3 linked regions of the Drosophila melanogaster genome follow. The protein of the gene in region 3 purifies or fractionates together with the protein of the main gene of each other region. This does not show direct contact. Each region holds a gene or a part of one and is shown on either strand. Other genes may lie near its edges. The genes, in order: Atxn7, Brf and Sgf11.

The links.
Region 1: the proteins of Sgf11 (region 3) and Atxn7 purify together in Drosophila melanogaster (affinity purification with western blotting; one study listed by BioGRID). This does not show direct contact.
Region 2: the proteins of Sgf11 (region 3) and Brf purify together in Drosophila melanogaster (affinity purification with western blotting; one study listed by BioGRID). This does not show direct contact.

What each region holds. Positions count from the first base shown.
Region 1 is NT_033779.5:2,371,691-2,379,608, forward strand, and holds the start of Atxn7 (ataxin 7), read left to right. Parts: upstream 1-4,150; 5' UTR 4,151-4,453; exon of another isoform or gene 4,454-4,573; intron 4,574-4,642; exon of another isoform or gene 4,643-4,982; intron 4,983-5,441; 5' UTR 5,442-5,511; coding exon 5,512-6,585; intron 6,586-6,645; coding exon 6,646-7,918. Other genes in the region: CG3609 (uncharacterized protein), read right to left, coding at 820-1,080, 1,140-1,386, 1,444-1,735, 1,804-2,011; CG15390 (uncharacterized protein), read left to right, coding at 3,066-3,119, 3,176-3,949.
Region 2 is NT_033777.3:17,386,284-17,394,201, reverse strand, and holds the start of Brf (Brf RNA polymerase III subunit), read left to right. Parts: upstream 1-2,864; 5' UTR 2,865-3,039; coding exon 3,040-3,112; intron 3,113-3,173; coding exon 3,174-3,542; intron 3,543-3,601; coding exon 3,602-3,706; intron 3,707-3,936; exon of another isoform or gene 3,937-5,047; coding exon of another isoform or gene 5,048-5,759; intron 5,760-5,817; coding exon of another isoform or gene 5,818-6,492; intron 6,493-6,559; coding exon of another isoform or gene 6,560-6,713; intron 6,714-6,778; coding exon of another isoform or gene 6,779-7,300; intron 7,301-7,918. Other genes in the region: CREG (cellular repressor of E1A-stimulated genes), read left to right, coding at 1-386, 448-529, 602-711; sds22, read right to left, coding at 1,293-2,273; lute, read right to left, coding at 5,222-5,759, 5,818-6,492, 6,560-6,713, 6,779-7,300.
Region 3 is NT_037436.4:18,676,219-18,683,597, reverse strand, and holds Sgf11 (SAGA associated factor 11kDa), read left to right. Parts: upstream 1-1,761; 5' UTR 1,762-1,909; coding exon 1,910-2,500; 3' UTR 2,501-2,561; downstream 2,562-7,379. Other genes in the region: Chmp1 (charged multivesicular body protein 1), read left to right, coding at 1-379; CG32202 (uncharacterized protein), read right to left, coding at 835-1,159, 1,221-1,321; GNBP1 (Gram-negative bacteria binding protein 1), read right to left, coding at 5,822-6,019, 6,076-6,453, 6,518-7,302.

The sequences.
Region 1 (7,918 bases), on a different chromosome or scaffold from region 3:
TTTCTTATAAATCCTATAGAACGTAGACCTTTCCGAATTTGTACCATCCATTTTCCTTATCCTTTTTGATGACTCCGAACCATAGGTTGTTTCTATTGCTAAGGCCCGTAGTGTTTCCAAACTGATCACACGGTTTTCGAATCTCTAAAGAACCCTTGCTATGAAGTACTATAGAACTATTCTACGCAATTGCACTTATCTTATCTCTCAGAACAAAGACGAGCCCCCTTTTTTGACTGTTATCTACAAAATGACTATTAAACTTGTGAAAAGTACAGTTGGGGTACAAAACATTCAAATATTAGATAATAATGAGAGCTAAAAAGCTTATAGATGGTTTTCAAAAATTAGCATAGGAATATTAAGAATTTTTAAAAAAGTAATATAAATTAGAACAGACTTGGTGGTATAATCTATATTAGAGATATGTGGGTAGACTTTAGAGAACCCTGAGATAAGGAATCCCTGCGCTTTTTTTTACCAGCCCCTAAATTAAAAGACGGTATCATGCGGCAGAAACGTGATCGGGAATTCTGCCAAGTCAGGCACTTTAGTAACACCCCAGTTCGACCTAGTGGGAATGTCATCGCTGCCGTTCCACAATCAATAGCTCCCCTTATCGCACTGTTTGCTAATCCTTGATCTAGAGTGGGGCATTGAAAAAATACAACAGGGGGTCCAACTTTTAGTAAGTCCAACTTTTGCTAAGGACTTTAAAATGTATTGCTTTCGTTTAAAATAATTATTTGAAATATATATTTTTTGTAAAAAGTTCTGTTTATTATGTTAGGTTTACACGTTTATCTATATAATCTATATTTACTGCTCATCGTACTTGTTCAGCACACCGATCTGCTTGCGGATGGTGTCCTCGATCTCGGCGAAGATCAAACTGTCGGCGTAGGTGACGTTCTTGTTCTCCACTTCGCCGGCGATGATGGACTGGCGCACTGCCTCCGCCTCATAGCGCATGGCCTCGGAGTTGGCGTAGTTGGTCGCGTACTTGCCCTTGGGAGGCAGCCACTCCTTCTCCTGGCCATCGATGTCGATGAGCTTGTTGGGCGACCAGAAGTCAATCAGCTGGTAGATAAGACTAGACTATTAGCTACTCTTCAATCACGATCGATTAGATTACGTACGGTAACTTGTCCTTTGGTGCCCTTGATAACGGCGGTGTTTCCCAACTTCTCCTTGGAGGAGAAGCGCATGCGAGCAGTGCGCCCACCACTGTAGGTCAAGGTGGCACTAACATCATCGTCGATGCCCTCGGCGTTCAGGGTTCCCTTGGACTCGATCTTCTCCGGTTTCTCCTGGAAGGCCCACTGCGAGACCTGGATGGTGTAAATGCCCAGATCGTAGACCACACCGCCTCCCAGTTCGCGTTTCCTTTAAGTGATGTGATCTATTAGTAATTGTTATTCTATGAACGATCTGTGTACTCACTGCAAGCGGTCGACATGAGGCATAGGGAAGCCAAAGTTGACCTCCACATCCTTGACTTGGCCCAGCTGTCCGCTGGAGATGAGCTCCTTAACGCGCTGGTACGAGGGGAAGAATCGCGACCACACGGCCTCCATGAAGAAGCGCTTGTTGGCCTTGGCAGCGGCCAGGATGCCCTCCACCTGCTTCTTGTTCATGGCCAACGGCTTCTCGCAGAGAACATGCTTGCCATTGTTCAGCATCAGCAAGGCGACCTCGTAGTGCTGGGGATTCAGGGTGCCAATGTAGACCACATCTGGGGATAATTACATTTTTTAAAGATTTTTTTGAACAGTTTGTTTATGAACTTTAAGTTCTACTCACCGACATCGGTGCTCTTGGCCAGCTCCTCGTAGCTTCCGAGGGCCTTGGGAATGCCGTGCTTGGTGGCGAACTCCTGGGCGCGATCAAGAGCTCGGGCGGCTACAGCCTGGACCTTGTGGTCGCTGGAGGGCAGGGTGCTGAGGGCGATGACAAAGTCCTCGCTGATCTTGCCGGCGGAAGCGATTCCCCAACGGATGAGTTTCGACATGTTGCTGGATTGTGGAGCGGGCTGCGAATGAGTGGCAAGCCGAGTGGATTGTTAGTTAAATATGGGTGGAATCCACAGAGAGCCCTCCTTATCAGAAATAATGCGAGAGAATTGAACGCTTTATCTCACTCCCCACCGGCAGTTTATCCCATTCCAATTGTTTGAATGAAAATCGACCAGAAGTAGTTGTGCTATTTCACAATGTTATTGAGTTTGACCTTGTTTGAGCATTACTTGAGTTATTCTGGATGCCACCTGTACGGGAATTCAAAGTTATCACTGATCGAACGAGCCCTCCTCTCCTGGCCAATAGTTTCCTCATTAAGTAAAAACACTTGTCACGTTCGCTCTGATACACAGAGCTTTTAAGATTATTACAAAAATAACATTTTAATTCTCTTGATTAATTTCTGGATGATTTCCTTTTCAATATCAACAATTTATTAGTTGGGTTTTTGTGTATGGATTTATGTATATTTAAAAGAAATATAAAAATACATTTCACATCCATTTATAAATTTGATTTAAGCTTTTTCACTTGAATATAAATTTTTATCAGTGTATCGATCAGTTTACATGTCGTTTTCTACATACATATGTATGTATTTACTTGTACGGTTCCAAATGGCGACAAATAATTTGAATTCTTTGGTTAAATAAGCCGGGTAGTACTTAGTTTATAACATTAAGCTATATCTCTTTCAGAGTTTGATTATAATTATGCTATAGTTGAACTCTCACACACATGTATACACACATATGTACAAAATAAAGAAAAAAAACTTACGCTGAGCTTGTAGCAGAACTAAACGATAAAACTTTCCACTGTTGTTTTTTATGCGCGACAGTTCTATTTATAAACAATTTGCTGTGCACCCGACGAGAATAACAGTTCGATGCGTGCGATTTAATAGACAATTAAGCTATAGACGAATATGGTGGGTGTACCAGCTAAACATGCCGTTGTTCACGCTTCTCGGTAACTGTCATTGCAAAGAAGAAGAGATCAGCTGTTCATTGTTTTGCTCGCCGATTTAAGAGGACATCGCCAAAAATGTTGCGGAAACTATTATTTAACACACAAGCTGTATTAAAACAACAGTCAAACGTGAGTTAATCATGAATGCATTAGATAGAAATTAGATACAAATTGTTACTTTCCAGTTACATCACATAAGGCACTTGGCAACGCCCAAGATATTGCAGCTTGAACAAATTCACATCGATGAAGCCATCAAAATAGAACCCACGTTAGCTGTATTCTCACCTGAAATCTGGCGAAGGGCCCATCAAACTTTTCAAAACCACGGCTTGGAAACCGTGAATTTCCTTAGAATAGTTACCGGTAACCCCGCGATTTTGAAAAGAACGCCGGACAAAATAATAAGCTGCCTGGAAATCTGGAGGGCCTGTCAATTCGGCGAGAATCTACTGCACCTGCTCCTTACGAAGTACCCCGAGTTACTGGACGTTAGCGACTCCCACCAGTTACTTTCCCACATCGGCTTCCTTCAAAGTCGCGTCTCCACCAGCAAAAATGTGTGGAAGTGTTTGATGAACAGTCCGGATTTGATAGCACAATCCGAGGTATCTATTGAGGAGAAACTGAACTTCATCACAGACGTGATGCGCATAGAAGTGCCGGAGTTGGTTAAATCGGCAGCCCTTACCTTGTCATTCGAGGAGCTGCGTTGTCGCCACCAGTTCCTGCTTCGTTTGGGCCTCTTTAAGCCACGACCTCCGAAAGCCGATCCAAATGAGCCGACTACGAACCCCAAACTCTATCAGATTACAGACACTTCCGAGAAGAGTTTCGCCACAAAGATTTGCCACGTCACCCTGCCGGAATACGAAGCCTTCAAGGATCTCTACGCCAAGGAACTGGAGCAAAAGTCCAGAAGAAAGGAGGAGGATGAGCTTAGTGATGAAGATGACTAATGTTACGTTTAATTATGGTTATAGTTTGTGCCAGCAAATAAACGCTTGTAAAAATAGGAAATGTTAAGTATAGTTTTCTATCGCCTTTAAAAAGATTTTAATTCATAAATATATTCAACTGACTTTTCAGCGGAAATGCATGTAATTAATATATCGGCTACGTATGCAACGAATACCTGTGCGACTATCGATAACATATCGCACTTAATCTGCAGCTGCAACAAATACAACGTAACGTAACGAGACGCGAATTGCCATCCCTAAGCAAATACAACGATATTCATAATATCAATCTTTAAACTCGAAAAAGCGAGACAAACTAGAAAGCTTTAATTGATTTCGTTACAGAATCAATTAGGCTATACAACCAACTCGTCTTTTTCGAGTTGACCTGGCATTTTCCTCCACGGAGGCCGGCCAAAAATCCGATTTATCCACGGGTAGGGTAGAACGGTAACCTAAACCCACAAAAAAAACAACAAAACATGGAAGTGTGTTAACGACGTAAGTGTCATTTAATGCCGATATCATTCGGCATTCGACTAAAATTGCCTGCGAGCATTTTAAGTGATTTTTATTTTGTGATTTTCAATCGTGTGCTTTGTTTGTGTTGCATTGGTGTGGGTAAGTGCGTGAGTGTGCTGTGCGTCGGTGTGAGTGGCTGCGCATGTGTGCGGCAGTGCGAGCGAGACGGCGCCACTCGAGTAGCGGTTGTCAAAAACAGCTGATCCAGACCAAGGGGTGCGGGTACCGAGGGGTTGGCGCTCGCGGGGGCGGGGGCAGCACTCACCTGTAAGCTTTCGCTGAAAATTTACGATATCAAAAACAACAGTTTGTTAAATTTCGAGATTCATTCAAAAATGGCAATATACGCATAGAAATACTCCAAGACGTACAGTCTTCACACCCTCCACAAGTGGTTTGTGCAGTGTCCAATACTTTTCCGTTGCTAATAAAATCTATATATGTATGTATGTATGTATTCAGGGTCAGGGTCCTGTGGTCAATGGATATGTTGTATATGTATAAGTGGGTTCTGCTGATATCTATTCATTTAATTATAACGATGGTTCTGTTTATGTTAATCCTAACGTGCACCAAAAAATTTTAATTATAATATAAAAAAATAAAGAAAAAATAAATAATTAATTCTAAATGATTATTCTTGTTTTAATTTACCTTAAATCTAAATCTAATAAAGTTGTAATCTTCTTGAGATATACTTATAAGATTAAATTTGAGTTTTAGGGTTAAACACGCCTGGTGGTGATTCAAACCACGTACATATGTATATGTAATAGAATATACGAATTTATTGTATGAAAACTAGTGATGATTTTAACATGGGCATTTCGTAGGGATTCCGTGGTCCGGGGTTCATGGTGCATAGCCCCAGATTTTGTGTTTTTTATCAGCGATGAATTGCAGTATCAGTTAAAAGCTGTCACTATCAAAGTTTCTCTGGAACTAATAAATCAATCCTGTTTTGCAGGTGCTTTAAGGGGCAATTTTGCTCGAGTGTACCGAATCCCCGGATCCCGCGAGCACAGCTTCTATCCGGAATGCCCCTGAACGATGTGGCCCCCGCCGGTGGTGGAGCTTATCCGGAAAATGGAACCAAGCACAAGGTGTCGGGAATGTGGAAGCCGGACTCGTCGGCCGGCTCCAATTCCGGCTCGGGATCGGCGGGACTATCCCTGTTTAGCCTGCAGGGCCAAAAGTGGCAGCAGGTCTTCGACATGGAAAAGGTCATCAAGCAACTGCGAACGGCTGAGAAGACGTATCTGCGTGGTGGAAAGAACTCCTCCGCCGGCGCAGATCAACAGGCGAAGGTGCAGGTCCAGCGTCTGCAATCGGCGGACATGGCCTACTACGATCTGGCGCCGAAGCTGGCCAGTCGCGATATAGTACTCTGTAGTTCCTGCTCGGGATGTTACACGAAGGCAGGTTTCCAGCACCACATTGCGCTGCAGCATCCTAGCGTCTGGGAGGCCACATCCAGCAAAGTGAATCCCAATCCAAATGGGACAGCCATATCCAGCGACTCTCGTCTCACTGCCACGGAAATCAGTCAGGAGGGCGGGGCTATCGTGCCAAGTTCGCCCACGGATACGCTTTCGGCCTCGACGCTCTCCAGTTGCTCGAACGGGTCCAGCAGCTCGGCTTCACTGCAGCATCCGGCTGCTGCGGGTTCATCCAGCACCACGTCGTCTTCGTCTTCGTCGCGTCACAAGAGCAGCAGCAGTAAAAGTAGCAGTTCCTCCTCGTCTAAGGGCAGCAGCAGCACTTCCGCCGGAAGTAGGTCGCGTTCGAAGTCGTCAAAGAACCGCCACCACTCCTCGCCAGCTCCGGCCCTGCTGGAGTCCAATCACAAGGAGTCAAAGGGATCGAAGAAGAGTTCGGCCATAGCCGCTCCTCCCGTCGTCGCTGCTGTTGTTAAGGAGGAGCCACCATCTGTGGGTGCTGCTCCGGCTGCCATAACCATGTTCTCCTCCTCCAGCAACTCATCCTGCAGCTTACCGCCCACTCCCACGTTGGGAGCGGCCTCCAGCGAGGTGGCGATGGGGGTCAACTATTCACCTGCCCAGCTTCAGACGGATGCGGAAAAGCTGCCCGAGCTGCAGCCAAAGAAAAAGGTATTTCATATAATTGTGACTATAATAACTCAATGATACAATTACCGAAATCCTCTTCAGTTGAAGGGCTCCAGCGATCATCGAATAAAAGCGGAAAAGGAGAAGAACAAAGATAAGTCTCTGGTGAATTCCTACGAGCAGCAGCAAGTGCTCAGCGAACTGGACCAGGCAGTGTCTTCCATCACGGGAGCGGTTTCCGCCGAGCAGGTGGCGCCCGATGAGGAGGAACTGCCCTTGCCCAACACCTCCGACGAGAACTCCATTTCGCAGACGCTCGACGAAATGCTGGACAGCAAGCTGATCAACGAGATTCTGAATAACTTCGATGAGAGCGCTCTGGACACATCGCAACAGCAGTCACAACAGCAAGCGCAGAATGGATCGCTATCGCATCCCGCACAGGCCACTAAAAGGCTGCGCTTTGAGGACGGAACCATTGGCGAGGATTACGCCGTGTACCAGCAGCAGGCGGTTCAGCAGGTTTATGGCGAGGAAGAGCATCAGCAGGAGCTGACCACCATCGATGCCATGCAGTTGCAGCAACTGATTTACCAGCAGCAGCAGATGCTCGAGCAGCAGCAACTGCAAGAGCAGCAGCAACAGCAGCAGCAGGATCAGAAGCTTCAGGATCACGAGCAGCAGCGCCAGTTCAGCGTCTACAACGTGCCGTCTCTGACGGATGAGGCAATGGTCAATCCACAGCAACAGCAGCTGGAGGAGCACATGATCCTGCCCAGTATTATATACGAGATCACCGAGTCGAATCCCGTTTCCATGCTGGAGCAGAAGGTCTTAGCCGAATTCCTAACCAACGCGGGCTACGAAAATGTGGACGTGAATGTCGTGCAATCGGGCGGCATACAAACCAACTTGAGTTCTGGAACGGAGGCAAACCAACTGGCGGATGAACTGGCCGACTTTGAGTTCAGTAAACTGGAGACTGTTAGCGACACCGTAAAGACTGTTAAGCTGGAGGCCAAGGCCGCCAGCCAGCCACCCACAACAAATCCTCAAATCAATCACCATCCATCGCTGGCCAATGCCAAATACCACGAGGACAGCTACTTTAACGTGATGCTGTACTCCGGAGCGCCTCGTCCCTTGGCCATGAACACGTTTGGCATGGTGAAGTTGCCCCAGGGCCTGGGCGTCACCTTCCGCAAGAATCTGTTGACCACGCGGAAGGCGAACAACAATTTGCTATCCCTGTCGGGAGGTAATCACCTGGGCGTGGTCGGTCAGCTGGCCCGCACACCGCCGCCGCCCTCGCCAGCGTTAAGCAACGGTCTGCCGGGTAAGAATCCCGCCTCGGGCAGAACCATTTACGCTCAGC
Region 2 (7,918 bases), on a different chromosome or scaffold from region 3:
CCTCTTCCGGTTACTCCCGCCGGAAAGATGAGCGTATAATTAGAGAATATAAGCGAGAGCAAGAGTTAAATCACGCCAAGATCGCCAGAGATTTGGTCCATCGCGCCAATTGGGCGGCTGTGGGAAGTCTCTCCACCAACGAACGGGTGAAGGGGTATCCCATGGTCAACATTATCTCCATCGACGACAGCGATGCTAATAACAGGTCCACTGGACGTATTCGATTCCTGCTAACCGATTTGGACTTCACTGGTCCCGACTGGCAGAAGGACAACAAGGTCACACTCCTGTTCAGTGACGAGCAGACCCTAAGATGCAAGGAGGGCGGAAAGGATCCCATGGAGCCTACATGTGCCCGTTCCATGATCAGTGGACAGGTGAAGAAGGTATGAAAAATGAATTAAATCCTATTTAAAATGGATTAAGAATGTTTTGGCTCATTTGAAGATGGATCCTAGCGACAAAAGCTATCAGCCATCGCTGGATGCCTATGTGAGGCGTCATCCAGCTGCCATCAATTGGGTAAAAGGTTGGTGAAAGCGAACCTCATTAAGAGCTCGATATGTATGTACTAATAATAAATACGTTGTTTCTTTTACAGCTCACAATTTCTACCTTTGCGAACTGGAAATTAGCAATATCTTTGTTCTGGACTTCTATGGAGGTCCTCATAAAGTGAGCGCCTCTGACTATTACGCTGTTTCGAATTGATGAACTCCTCCAAAAGCAATCCAACTGACGCCTCATATACTTTGTCAAAAAATGAAATGATAAGCATATTTGCACAACATGTCTGCCACAAAGGGAAAGAATGAAGACAAAGGCCTTTATGAAAGCCACTTATCAGTTGAGCTCTGTGATTTCAATCGATAGAACAATAACTTTGATATAAATAAAAATACATTCCGTTGAATGTACTCTGACATACTGAAATGTATTGTTTTGGTTTAAGAGAAACCAGAATTGTTTAACTAAAATGTTTTCATCTTTTTAGATTCAATTTACATTATTTATGTGTATATATAAAATACTTTTTAGTTTTATATGTTAGGCGGTAGCCTAGATGGATAATTTATCTGACTCATTAGGTAAACTTCACGCTTTGAGTAACTTATCCAAATATACCTTCTTCTGAAAGCAAACTAAATCACTGCACCCACCAATTCGTAGATAGAACCATTAGTGGTTAATTTGTATGTATATTTTAAACGCAGTTTTTCAAAGTTAATCGATATAAATGTAGTGGCGCAACGCCGTGGATTAGTCTTTCAAGGGGTTTACAGTGGTTCCATCTAGGTACCGGGCACCTTGCACAGGGTGGCATCAATCTTCTGCAGCTGCGGCAGTATGTCGCGCAGTTTGGAGCGGTAGCGAACATCCTTGGCCAGCGGATTGTACTCCAGGTAGATGGTCTGCAGCGCCTTGTTCACCTTCAACAGCTCAATGTCCTTCCAGTCATCGACTCCGTTGTGGTTCAGCCACAGCTCCTCGAGCAGTTCCAGCTTTTCCAGATTGGCAATGCCCTTCAACCGGTTCTTGGCCAAGTCGAGGGTCTCCAATTTGGTGTTCTCCGAGAGGTTTTCAATGGTTTCCACTCCGTTTTCCGAAACGTAGAGTTCGCGGAGGTTGGCAAGCTTTTCAAGGTTCTCGATTTTTACAATGCGATTGGCCTGTAGACTGAGTATCTCCAAATTGACCAATGTGTCCAAGTTCTCGATCTTTGCTATCTTATTTTTGCCCAGGAAGAGCTGTCGTAGATTCACGAGCATTTCGATGTTTTCGATCTTCTTCAGTTTGTTATCCCCCAGCTCTAGCATGGTCAGATTGGTGAGCATGTCCAGGTTCTCGATTTGGGTTATCCGGTTCGACACAAAGTAGACCTTCTCCAGCTTGACCAGCTTGTCAAGGTTCTCTATCTTCGTCAGACGATTGAAGCTAATGTCCAGCACCTCCAGGTGGGGCAAGTCGTCCAAATTCTCAATCTTGGTGATCTGGTTGTCATACAGCTCCAGCTCAATCAGTGTTTTCAGGCTGGACAAGTTCTCGATTTTCTTGATCAGATTCCAGCGCAGAAACAGGCGCTCGATTCGAGTCAGCGGCTCGAAGTTCTCCAGCTTCTCGATCCGGCGATGATTCAGATCAAGCTCGTAGCAGTCCGGATCGATTGTGATTATATCCTCAATGGAAGCCACATCCTCGGCGGGAATCACCTGGATTCCGGACACAGTTTTCGCGGCTTCTGGTTCGTTCATCGCACGATCAGCATCGCCCATGACTGATATATTTTGACCGGCTTTTCTTTTTTTTTAATTCAAGTTGACTTTCGAAAATTGAACGCTGACTTGACTTGTTGTTTATTCCGCTGCTCAGGGTGGAACAAAGTGGGGTGACTTTCTTTAAATATGACGTCAAAGCTTGACACTGTTACAAAAGCAAGAACACACGGTAAATATAAATATGTAAATTTAAAATAAATATGTATTAAAATATTTACTTAATATTTATAAGTTAAGTCCAAGATGACTGTATACTCCTTTTGGTCCAACTTGTTCAATATGTCAACAAAATACTTAGTCACCTTACCGGCACTTTAACACTATTTCTACTAGAGATGTGCACCTAAGAACACGATGCTAAACCTGTATTATTATATATTCCAATGTAAATGAAAAACAAATATTGATTGATAATTTGCCAAATAAACTAGAACATAATTTTTGGAACCAGCTTTACGTAATTTTTACAATTTTAATATCTCTTTTAAGTTTTTCAAGCAGTTGTGCCAATGTCGTTCTTGATTGAGAAATGCGCATCTCTAGCATTTCTTCTTCTATCATCAGTGTTAAGCAACGCCGGCGGGGTTCAATCAGATGTTTTCCAAGCGTGTTGATTCAATTGGCAACAAATTGCAAATTGTTTAAAAAAGACTCGAAAATGGCTTTCAAATGACAGCAAACAAGTAGTTTAAACTGTCAAAACAACGGATAAAAACGAAGCGTTGCAGGTGGCAGTGTTTATTAAAGCAAAGAACAAACAATCATGTCTACGGGCCTAAAATGTCGCAATTGCGGATCCAACGAGATCGAGGAAGACAATGCTCGCGGAGATCGAGGTATAATGACATCCAAGGACCCATATCCATGACACTAACGACGTTCACCCATTCACTGTAGTTTGCATGAACTGCGGCTCGGTATTGGAGGATTCCCTCATTGTTTCCGAAGTGCAGTTCGAGGAAGTTGGCCATGGAGCAGCCGCAATTGGCCAGTTTGTGTCCGCCGAGTCGTCGGGCGGTGCCACCAACTATGGCTACGGCAAGTTTCAGGTGGGATCGGGCACCGAATCCCGCGAGGTGACCATCAAAAAGGCCAAGAAGGACATCACACTACTCTGCCAGCAGCTGCAGCTATCCCAGCACTATGCAGATACTGCTCTGAATTTCTTCAAGATGGCATTGGGTAGGCATCTGACCCGCGGTAGGAAGAGCACCCACATCTACGCCGCTTGCGTGTACATGACCTGCAGGACAGAGGGCACCTCCCGTGAGTAGTGCATTCATTTTGCCTAAAGAGTAGCTTATTGACTGCTCATATCTTCACAGATCTCCTCATCGACATCAGCGACGTACAGCAAATCTGTTCCTATGAGCTTGGTCGTACCTACTTAAAGTTATCGCATGCCCTTTGTATCAACATACCTTCTCTGGGTGAGTGAACGTTGTGAATACTAAACTATACACCTAAATCCCAATCCACAGTCAAGTCAAGCCATAGCTCCACTCTTAATTTTTGTTTTTTTAAAAATATTTTGTTGGGTTTGTTAGATTTGCTTGCTTTCCTTTTATCAGGTATTTAACAATACTCTACTCGTTCCTGTTTTCTTTATGCACTACTTACGTGATGTCAAAATATCCAAAATCTTCAACTCTGAGAAAGTAAATTCGCAAAAATCTAATAATGTATTTTGTTTGATTAAAGTACATAATGGTAATAGATTCATAATCAATACAGGATAACATTTTATATAGATATATGTATATAAAAACCATAATTGTCTTATCAAAAGCAAAAAATCAGTACAATTTCCAAAGAAATCCGAAATACAAACGTAAAACTGATTGTTGCGCTCAGCAGGCTATAATAATGCACAGGAGAAGTACGGGGCTTAGTATCAGTAGAAAGGCATATTGTGTATGTATGAGAGATATAATGGAACAACTACGAAATAGATATAATGCGTACTACAAGATTAATATTTGAATATATATGTAGGGGGGATTTTGTGCGCATCTCGTACAAGATCCCTTGATTTCATTTTTGTTTGCTATTTCGTTAACTGGTTAACTTGGGTTTCAAATTCGTCGTATGCAACTATTAACATGGCCTATTCTCCCTCGAAGTGTTTAGGACTATAGTTTATCATTATCAGATCAGATGTGTGTATATGTTAGGTATATGCTGGCAAAAATATGTTTGGTATATATCGTATTAGCTTTTGTCCACTCTCCCTTTAACTGTCTTTAGAATATTGGTTAACGCTAGCTTGACTGATTGCCCGATTTTCACTTATTGCATGTATCTATGCGTCTCTATTAGCGTCCATATGACCCCATCCCGCCCTCTTAAGTCGTGGAACGTATTAAGTTTTCGAGTCAACTACTAATCTTTATCTATAAAGTTAAGAGTGTATATGATCAACTTTTTCGATTTTGAAAATATCTTTATATGCATTACCAACAGACTATGTGCAGTGCGTTTTAGAACTGCAAAACCATTGATTTCACTTGCTTAACATACTTGGGATATCGAAGGAAACTTTCCAATTATAGCAAATTTCCTATATCGATTGACTTGCATCGGCTGACTTTTTTTTTTGAGATGATCACGTACTGACAATCGTCTTGGAGTTTTAAAACGCACTGCCGAGGTGTATATATATGTGTCTATGCTTTGACGTGTATATATATGTTTATATATAGGACTATTATGAAAACTAGAGTACTCTACTATCTTGGTATATATATATATATATATATATATATATGAGCCTAAAACTCCAATTTACTTTCTTGTGCTGCACTGAAAACCCATGAGTTTCGATTTTGTATCTGTATCTTTTGCGGTTGCTGTGTTTTGTATTGTTGTGTTGGTCTCCTCTGTTGCTGCTGCTGTTGGCGGTAGTAACAGGCTCCCTGCCACTCGGCGCAATAGAGCTGTGCGCATCAGGTGCTTCCGTCGCCATCCTCCCCAGAACTGTTGGCGTTATTGCCAGATCCATTGCTGCTATTCGGAACAGCTGTTCCGGCTGCTGCGGTTGAAGTCGCTCCTGCATTGGAGGAACTGCCACCAATTGGCGTGGGACACAGTGAATTGGTGGGCGAGCTCATTGCTGTCACTGTGGTGGGTCCGTAGAAGATTAACTCTGGGATTTGGCCGCCCTGAACTCCGGTGCCGTTGGTGCTCTCCGACGAGCACTGGAACTGGAATGTCACATTGCCCATTAGCACCTCGGACATGCCCTCCTGGCCAAAGAAGCTAAGCTCGTTTCCATCGAGAATTACGGAGGCGGTATAATAACACTCGGGCTCGATCTGGATGGGATTCTCGAAGAAGACGTGGAACGTGTTGCTTGATCCGTCCGAGAAGAACTTGGTGTCGTTCTCTGCAAGCGTGCGGCCCAGGCGTTTAAGTTCGATCTTTACGTTGTAGTTGGCAGCACCAGTCGACGAGCCGTACAGTCCAAAACCCACAATGAAAATTCTGAAATTTTCAGTTTTAATTACCTTAATCCAATAACCATTTGTTAGATAGAACTTACCTTCGATCAACAGAAAACTGAATTGAATCACAGCGCCCGCGGTAGCGCCACTGGTTCGAGCGATAGGCGCACGACTGGAAGCGATGGCAGACCTGGGTCTTTAATCCCGCCCTGGAGCGTGTGGGAAAGCCCAGGGAGGGCTTCATCTTGGCAGTGAAGTGCAGGAACATGTCGATCGTCTCCTGCGACGAAAGAATGCCTGTCTGGGCCACGCCGTTAGCGAACTCCTCCAGCGACATTGTGGGAATGCGGATGAGGTGCAGCGCTTGTCCCAGCAGCCGGCGCTTGTTCTGCGGCGTGTCATCGATGCTCATCTTCTCGCAGGCGTTCATTGCCCAGTTAAGGGCCGCCTCGAACAAGTGTATCTCCTTGCAGTTGAGTGTCTCTCGCGAAAGAATTGACTCAAAGGTCTTGAGATCAATATCCACAAAGTCCTCGGACTTAACCGCCATCTCGGCCTGGGCGTCGATCACTTCCCAGCAACGTTGCATCAGCTCGGGCTCCTCGAACAGACGCGATTGACTGAGAAGTAGGCAGGCGTTTTTTGCCGTCAACTTCACCTCCAGATAGTTGACGCATGCTCTGGCTAAGTGCGGGACAATGTACTTCTTGGCTGCATAGAGCGTGGCCAGAATGTGTTCAGGTTCCAGTTTGATTTCATCACAATAAAGGTACCTAAGCGGAATCATAGAGAGTAAATATATACAATTCCGATTGGTTGGTTGGGATGTGGATATCTTACCTTAGCAACGTTAGGAAGGCAGTGGGTTCCACGTCAGGCACTTTGATTTCCTGCTTGTTCTCCGCCAGTCCTCCATAGAACATAGCATAGAATACGGAACTGCCCGTGGCGAGAATATATTTGTGGGCGGGAATGGTCTGAATGGGATCGATGTCTGTGAAAAATGCAGGTCATGAGCAATGCTGTTTGATTGGTTAAAGAAAGTAAAAGAACGCTTACCGAACTCTCCGCCCACAATGAACTTGACATCGGACATGAGTTCGTTGTTGAACATGGCTGCATTCCTCTCGAGGACCGTCGCCTTGCTGGCCTGCCAGTTGGGATCAGCCGTATCGATGGCGTTGGATGCTGCCACAGCTGCGAAATGCCAATTGGTTCCGGCAGAGCACACATACGATCCACTCCCACTGGTGGGCGTAGCGGAAATGGCAGCCACCGCTGCCGCTGCGGAACTGGAGGGCAGACAAAAGGCGGTGGGACTGCCGGAGATTCCTCCGGCACTTCCTGCACCACCACCACTGCTGCTGCCACTGCTGTTGAGGGCGCCCGGTGAAGCCAACGGCGAGGATGGAGCACTGATAGGCTGCGTTATCTGGATATTGTGATCCGCTGCGGCAGAGGGACCTCCTCCGCCTCCAGCTGGCGATGCTCCTCCTCCGCCTCGCTGTTGTTGCTGCTGCTGCTGCTGGTGATTGTGGGGCGGCGAGTGGAGCAGCCCGTTGCCATTGTTCAGGGTTTCCACTGCAAATGAGTTTTGGGAAAATGGTTAAATATTTGGGCTAAACGGGTTACGTATCGCTGTTCTAATGATCCCACCCAGTTCGCTCAGAATCAGCAGCACGCGTGGCCACATTTGTGCAACTTCCGCTGCGTGTGCATCATAAATAACAAATGCCAGGGTCTCCCCTTTTTCCACAATTATTGCACCCCAGGTACAGTGGGGCCTTGCTGTGTAGGCACAGTGTGTACCTGTCAAACTGTATTTAATATTTTAATCATGACTTAAGCATATTCTAGCCCTGATAATAAACCTTGATCTTTGAGCATATAAAAGTCTAGGCTGATGTAAGCTTTACACACGGGTTTTAATTATTTGTGTTCAAATTCAAAACTGAAGTTCTTATTCCTGAAGTTTCACTGTCTTCTAAAAGTGGAGCGTCTCAAAATAGCAACGTATTGGGACACTGTTGTTTTTGTTTGTGTTGCCAGACTGCGCCCCTCCCGTCCAGCCCCACCACCACCCGCTCCCCTGGCGACACTGCTTAAGTTGTGTGAAAAATCAATAACTCACAGACGCAGTGCACCTGCCGTGCCCCCCCCCCCCCATTCACGACCAACCCTAGAACAGTCGGCTCCTTC
Region 3 (7,379 bases):
CAGTAGGGTTCAGTCCGCACTCACCACCCGCAAGGTCACCGGCTCCATGGCCGGCGTGGTCAAGGCCATGGATGCAGCTATGAAGGGTATGAACCTGGAGAAGATTTCCTCCCTGATGGAGAAGTTTGAATCGCAGTTCGAAGACCTGGACGTCCAGAGCTCGGTAATGGAGGGCACCATGTCCGACACGGTAACCACCTCGGTGCCTCAGGGAGATGTCGACAATCTGCTCCAGCAAGTGGCCGACGAGGCTGGCCTCGAACTCAACATGGAGCTGCCCAGCGGAGTTCAGAGCCAATCCGTTGGAGCCTCGACAGCAGTGTCCCAAGAGCAAGACGAGCTCACCCAGCGACTGGCACGTCTCCGCCAGGCTGAATAAAAATAGCGACGCCCTGCCCGTTGAATTTCTGTTTTAGCAATTAAGTACATTCAAAATATAAATAAGTATAAACTCAGTGATTGGAAGTCTATCGATGCTGCTTTGTCTACCATAATCAGAAGAATTGCCATGAATCTTTAAGTGTAAGTGTGCTGTTTGTATAGGCTTCAAACGGATTATGATTTACATGCTTTTCTAATGCAATATACGATAATCATGTTTTAAAGGCTTTGTTGTTATAGTTATTTGAAGACCTGCCAATTTTTGTAACTTGTTTACTTGGAAAGATATAGCATAATTTGGAAATAGAAATGGTTCTGCAGCAATCACAACTTTCATTGCTTTGGTTACTATAATTCATTTCTGGTCTTAGCTTTTATTTGTCTTAATATTATATTTAAAAGTATACAAGCCCTTTATCTTAAAACTAGAACACGCCAAGCAATCGCTATGACTCAGGTCAACAGTGGAGGTTGAGGTTGTTGATGCGGTGGTGCAATGACTGGATTGGGATTGATGGGTGCCTGTTTGGCTTTTTGCTTTCGGGGTTTCCGGGCAGCTGGAGTATTGGGTCCAGGCTCAGACCCGGGTGCTCCTGTTTCATCCGCCGCCTGCTTGTTTTTGGGCTTCGGTCCTCGACGCTTCTGCTCGGTTTTCCCTTTGGGATGTGGAGCCTCCATGGGAACGGATCGCCAGTCGTCTCCGTGCTTATCTAGTCGCCGTTTTAGAAGCTCCACGTCATGATTGCGCCTTCTTACTATCTTTTTGATCCCATTTACTCTGGATAAAAGGTACTGCACATTTTTGTTTACGTTTCGTGGAGCATAAAAATGACGGTTACCTCATCACACATCGCTCATTTTCCGCCTGAATCCTTTGGCACCTGTCATACAGTTTTTCCACCAGCTGTTTGTACATGAGTTCTTTCTTATTTAGCAACATTTTATACAGATATTGGTTATAGTTCAATATTTAGAAATGTTTTTATTTACGCCATGGCTCAGTGTGGCCAGATGGGCGATTTTCTTCTTGCTCCGTCTGTCGGTACAGGCGTTGCCACGTCATATTTATTCAAAAAAGGACTAGTTCACTTATTGAACTAAATTTAGCAAAAGTGCATAAAAACTGCTTGACATAATTGTCTTTAATTTAAGATTTAACTGGTCATAATAATTACTTTACATACTCGTTTTATGAAATGACAAAACCTGATGCATTTAAAATTATAAGTTAATGAAAATATAAACTATTTAAATTGGTTAATAATATAAATTTTATAATTTGCTATAACGGTTAAAGCTGTTACTTTTAGATGCAACTATTTAAATTGAATATCTAGTTCCTTAAAACTATTTACCCCTATTTGCACCAGCCTGGCAACTCTCTCATTTTGCAAACAGCCGTGTTAAGCAAACCCACAATTAGTAACTTATGTAGTTCCACAACAACAACCGGCATGCCAAACAAATCTTCCAGAGCAGACAGGAAGACAGCCAGAAGCAAATAGATATAGTGTTTGCGCCAACTATTATGTCTGCAGCCAACATGCCGACGACAACAGGAGCTCAGGGATCGGGAAACCAAGTTCCCACAACTAGCACTACGATTGTAAACCACTTCCGGGAGTTGATCAAGGAACCGAAGAACCTCGACGAGGCGGCCAACTATCTGTACCAGTCGCTGCTCGACGACGCCGTAGTCGGAATCTTTAACGAGACACATCATCTGCGAAAGTCAGGGAATCTGGCCGCCCTGGACGGAGTGCCGGAGGACTCAACCTATCGAATGTGCGAGATGCCCAACCTGGACATATTCGGCATCTCAACGGCCAAAAAGCCAATGGACTGCACCTGCCCCAACTGTGATCGCCTGGTGGCCGCCGCCCGCTTCGCCCCGCACCTGGAAAAGTGCATGGGCATGGGTCGTATCTCGTCGCGAATTGCCTCTCGTCGCTTGGCCACCAAAGAGGGCGCCACATCCGCCCACCTGCACTCTTCGGGAAATACCGGAGGCACTGATGATGAGGATGACGTGGACTGGTCGTCCGACAAGCGTCGAAAGAAATCAAACCAGAACTCAAGGAACAACGGCTCCAAGAAGAACAATGGCAAAACCTTTTAGTCAGAGCTAACAATCATTTTCGTAGTTTATTCTGCCATAAAAGTACACCTTTAAATCAGTCACCAATGTATTCTAAACTAATGGGATTTTGGTGATCGACCCCTACTCTTCTTTGAGATCATTTGAATAGGACAGCAGTTAGTGGCAATATCTAATCAATTAATATCTAGATATCATAGGACAAGGGTAATATAACTTTTCAGCAAATAGGCGCTTTTAAACATAGACTTTCCTGGTGCTAAATGAAGTAATTCAATGTAATAATATGAAAGCAAGCCTTAGTTTTATATTTTACAACTTAAAGAGTATATATTTTGGTTATTTTCCTTCCTTATCAATGGCAAACACCCGGATATGGTCGACCACTAGGGGTGTCCAGTCCGAATTTCTAGACAACTCCTCGAATTGTTTGTCAGTTTTGGGGTGGGTGTTTAAAAAGGGCTTGTGTTTCATTTCTAGAATGTCGTCATTGAAATTAACATTGCCGCCGGCGGTTAGGCCAAGGACTAGATGGCACTAAAAACGAAAGATCATAGAGATATTACATCTTTTAGAGGAAGGCGTCTTACCTCATGTTTTCGAAATGGTTCAAGAAGTGTCGGATTGTTTACTGCTCCGAAGAACTCGCCATCGAACTTAAAGATAATTTTGTCAGTCTGCCAGATAATAGTCGTGAAATCCGTCCCCATAGTAAATTTCCCCTGGCGTACAAGCGAATATGATCGAAAAAATCGTCATCCGCCTTATCCATACGGGGCACCAGAAGAATGTCTAAAGTAATCAAAACCATGTAGTGATTACCAGCTATAAAAACTAAATATCCACTCACTTGGAAACAACCAATCGCCTTTGGGCATTTTAGCTCTAATCTCAACTCGCCCATATTTAAAGGTAAAGTTCGTGTGCATGTTGGCGGATCTAAAGGTCTTGGAGACCCAAGGCTCCCGTTTCGATCTTGACCCCCTGTCACACTCTTTTCGTTTGGCTATTTGCTGGTGCAGCCCAGAAGAGTCATATTTCGCTCATCTCTGGTAATTGATATGTGCAAATTGTTGTTGGTTATAATCGAGTTGACAGGATCGTCCACAAAGGCAAAAAACTCCTGGTTTTTCCCGCCAGTATTACGATACCTAACCTCGCGTACCCAATTCAATGGGAACATTCTGATAACGTTTCTGAAGAACTCAGGTTAATCTAGGCCCATCAAATAATTCGCCAATTCCATTATCGTTGATTTTAATCTCGAAAAACTGAGTTGCAATCTTATTATTTCTCTCCACCACAGTTTGAATTCTTATTTTGGCATTGGGCTCAATGTTACTTTGTAACTCAATCTTTGCACCAATATGCTTCGTTATCGCACCCTTTGTCAACCAACTCGGCTTGAAAGTATATGGACTCAATCTCTTCCAGATCCCCGGGTAACACTATGAATACCTCCCTGCCCTTCACATTTACCACTGGATGCGGCCCCTCCAAGGCAATCATCAAAGAAACAAGACAACCTAACAAAATTAGAAAAACACAGCCTTTCCGCATGGCGGCTACCAGAGAATCCAGTCTTGCAATCATTGTGTTAACATGTGGGTTACTGCATTCCCTAGCATATAAGCTCTCAATCTTTAGCTGTTCTCTTGTAAAAATATGATAGATATGATCACATTGGTTTCCAATAATTAGGTCAGATATAGTATTTTATTCAATGAAATCATAGATTCACTTTTTTCATAGTTCACAGTTTCATTAGACCAAATATTTAATTAAGTGTTGTAGCTTAATGAGATCACGCGAGTCATATTCATTCCTCGTATTCATCGATTGAATAAACATTAAATTGTTGTATGACCAACACAGCTTGATCCCAAATGGGTGCATTGGTTACGGCCTTTATAATTTTCGATGATAGACCCGTTTCGAAATTGCGATAGCTCTTTTGCTCTGGCGGAATGCTGTTATCCGGAAAATTGTACTCTCCGCCGACAGTTAGGAACAATTCAATGTGGCGCTGAGGAGTTGGAATTTTAGTGCAAAAAAATTAGTATTATTAAGTAAACCAACTTCTGTCTGACTGAGTTCTTGGACGATCGTTGAGTTCGTTATTTGAGCAAAGGTGCGACCATCTATCTTAAAGGTTATGCTCTCCTCCGTCCCAATAGACGTGTAAGTATAAAAGTCATTCCCATAGTGATCATCCCTACTGGCGAACTCCTCCAATTCCACCGAGCTCGTTGGACAATGGCAATTCGAATGGCATCGTGATTAACTGAAGACAGTGTGAGTCCTAAATGAAGGATTGCATTCGATTATCCTTGTTACTAATCATTAAGTTCGAAATCACCTGGGAACAAACAGTCTCCAATGGCCATCTTGGTTTCTATGTCTATCCGACAGTACCTAAAGGTATCCAATGAGAGTAATTTTGCCGAATCAAAGGGAGGCATACATTTTCGAAACGGCAATCTGTACTTCTTCTCGCCACATCTTTGATTGGAATCGCTTTTCGAATAAGCGCAGTTCTCCAAATAGAAGGGGTTTTTCGACCCATAGTTAGATTTAGTTACATACGAATTGGCTTTTCAATTCACAAGGGCCACTCCCTTCCTGTGATTGCACCACGTGCTTCCAATTTTTCAAAGGATTTTCACTATCTCCAAAGGACTCGGTGACAATAGCCTACCGCTGCAGCTTGCAGCTGATGGGTTTGTCTCTAGTGAGGGAAATCGCGGGCAGGCAGTATTTCGTAGAGCTACGTAGCTTCTTACAATCTCTACTTTTCTCGGATGATGGTAGGAATTTCCGCAGAGGCTCTACCAAAGCACTGCTTTCTCCCAAGGATCTGATCCTGAAGCTTTTGATCACAGTTTCGTTTTGATGGGTCTCTACGACGGCGGATATTTTGAGGGTACCACTGCCCAGGTATTCCCGTATAGCCTATAGTCATAGAAGGGACACTTGTCCCCTTCGAACTCAGTGTAAAAGAGCACCGACCTAATACGATGATCTTCTATTTTACTTATTAATAGATTGTAGGCAGCAAAATGTGTGGCCATCTTACCTGGAAGCGATGCCCAGATCCATGTATCGTTTTCAGTGACATTCACCAAAAGCTGAAGAGCCTGAAAGGAATCAAAGCCGACCAACTGGCTTAGTATTAATGCCCAGACTCATCTCCATTCTGTCAGATAAGCAACCATACTGAAGCATTTGATTTCACTGAGTTTCTCTTAGGACTTTATTTATTTATAGATTTATAGATTTCGATCGGCACGTTCACTTATGTGTAATTTTATAAACATCTACCTAAATCATGGATTTTAGTTATCAGTTGGCGAAGACACGAACATAATCGATCTTCAAGGCCGGCTGTTTCCATGTGGGTAGCCACTGGTCTTGGGCCTGGTGGAACTGCAGCTTCGCCTGGGGATGATAGTTGGCCCAAGGCTTCTCATAAGTGGCGGTGCGAAGATGGTCCACAAAGTCACCAAATCCGCCCACAGAGACGCCCAACGAAATGTAAAACTGAAATGGGAGATAAATTTGAATTAAACTTGTTAAATTTAGATCACTAGGCTTACCATTTTATCGAACGGGGCCATGGGACCGCCCTGCTTCCACCTGGGATTCTCGTCCAGTTCAGTGAAACCATTCAGCATCTCTCCATAGACCTGACCATCTACGGAGAAGAGCAGCCTATTGCTGCTCCAATCCAAGCTGTAGGTGTGAAAGTCATCGCCGAAATGGGATATCTTTCGCTTGCTCAGCCATAAGTCCTCCCTTTGGTGGGCATCCGTGGAGAGTACGGGTCCTCCGTATAGGGATCTACCATCTACAAGCTTTCCGCGCGGCATCCTCAGCACGGAGTTACCCCTGGCCAAGGCCACTCGCAGCTGGCCGGATTCGTAGCCCGATTGCCCGTACCATTCGGTGAGGGGTTCGAGTAGTAGGAGTGGTACCTTATGAAGAGTGGGAAATATTAATTTCAAAGCTAAGACGTTGTAGTTGCATAATCTCACTTACTATCCAATCTCCCTTTGGTAGCTTGGCACGGATCTCAATGCGTCCGTATTGAAAGGCAAAGGTTTCCTTGGTGCTGATTCGAGGTGTTACAATTGGGGGCATTATCCCACTGGGTCCACTGCCCGTGGAATGCAGGATGCATTCCTTAATTCTGTTATGGGTTCCAGTACAACGCTCCGATAGATCGAGCCTGGAGTTGGCTATGGAGAGATCCGGGCGATAGCTGGACCAAAGAAGCGGCTCAATCACCAGGTTGCCATCGTGAACTTTGGCCTTCCCGTCGTACAAGACGAACTCTGCATCCTTGGAGTCGAGGGGCAGGCGAACATCATGTATCCACAGAGATTCATTCAGCTGATCAAAAGTCTCCTCAAACAAAAGTTGTCCCTTACATATGGAAACACCGATTTGCGGCGAAACCTGGCTTTCAGAAGGTTCACAGACGGAGGGAGCGGTGGGTTCCAAAGCACTGTCCTCAGTACTTAGCTGGTTGTCATCCGTAAAGTCATCATCACCGGGCGAACATCCCCTGGGCCGATACTCTCCGCCGAGATTGCAGACTGGCAGGGGCTGCGCCAGATCTTGATACACAGCCTTTTGGTGCTGCACACTTGTCCAAAGGTATAGAACATCTTGGGATCTCAAGGGAACCGAACTGAAGTTGGTCGTCCACCTGCCGTTCTGGGGTTCAGTCAATCTCACATTGTACTGTCCCTCGTTTATGAAGGATGTGAAATTCCGATTGCGATTTACATTAAAGGCCACCACTTTTACGCCCTCTTCATCTAAAAAGAAAAACAAAATCGGATAAATTAGCAAGTTCATTTGCTAATTTGTAGCTGATTATAACTATAAACTGTCA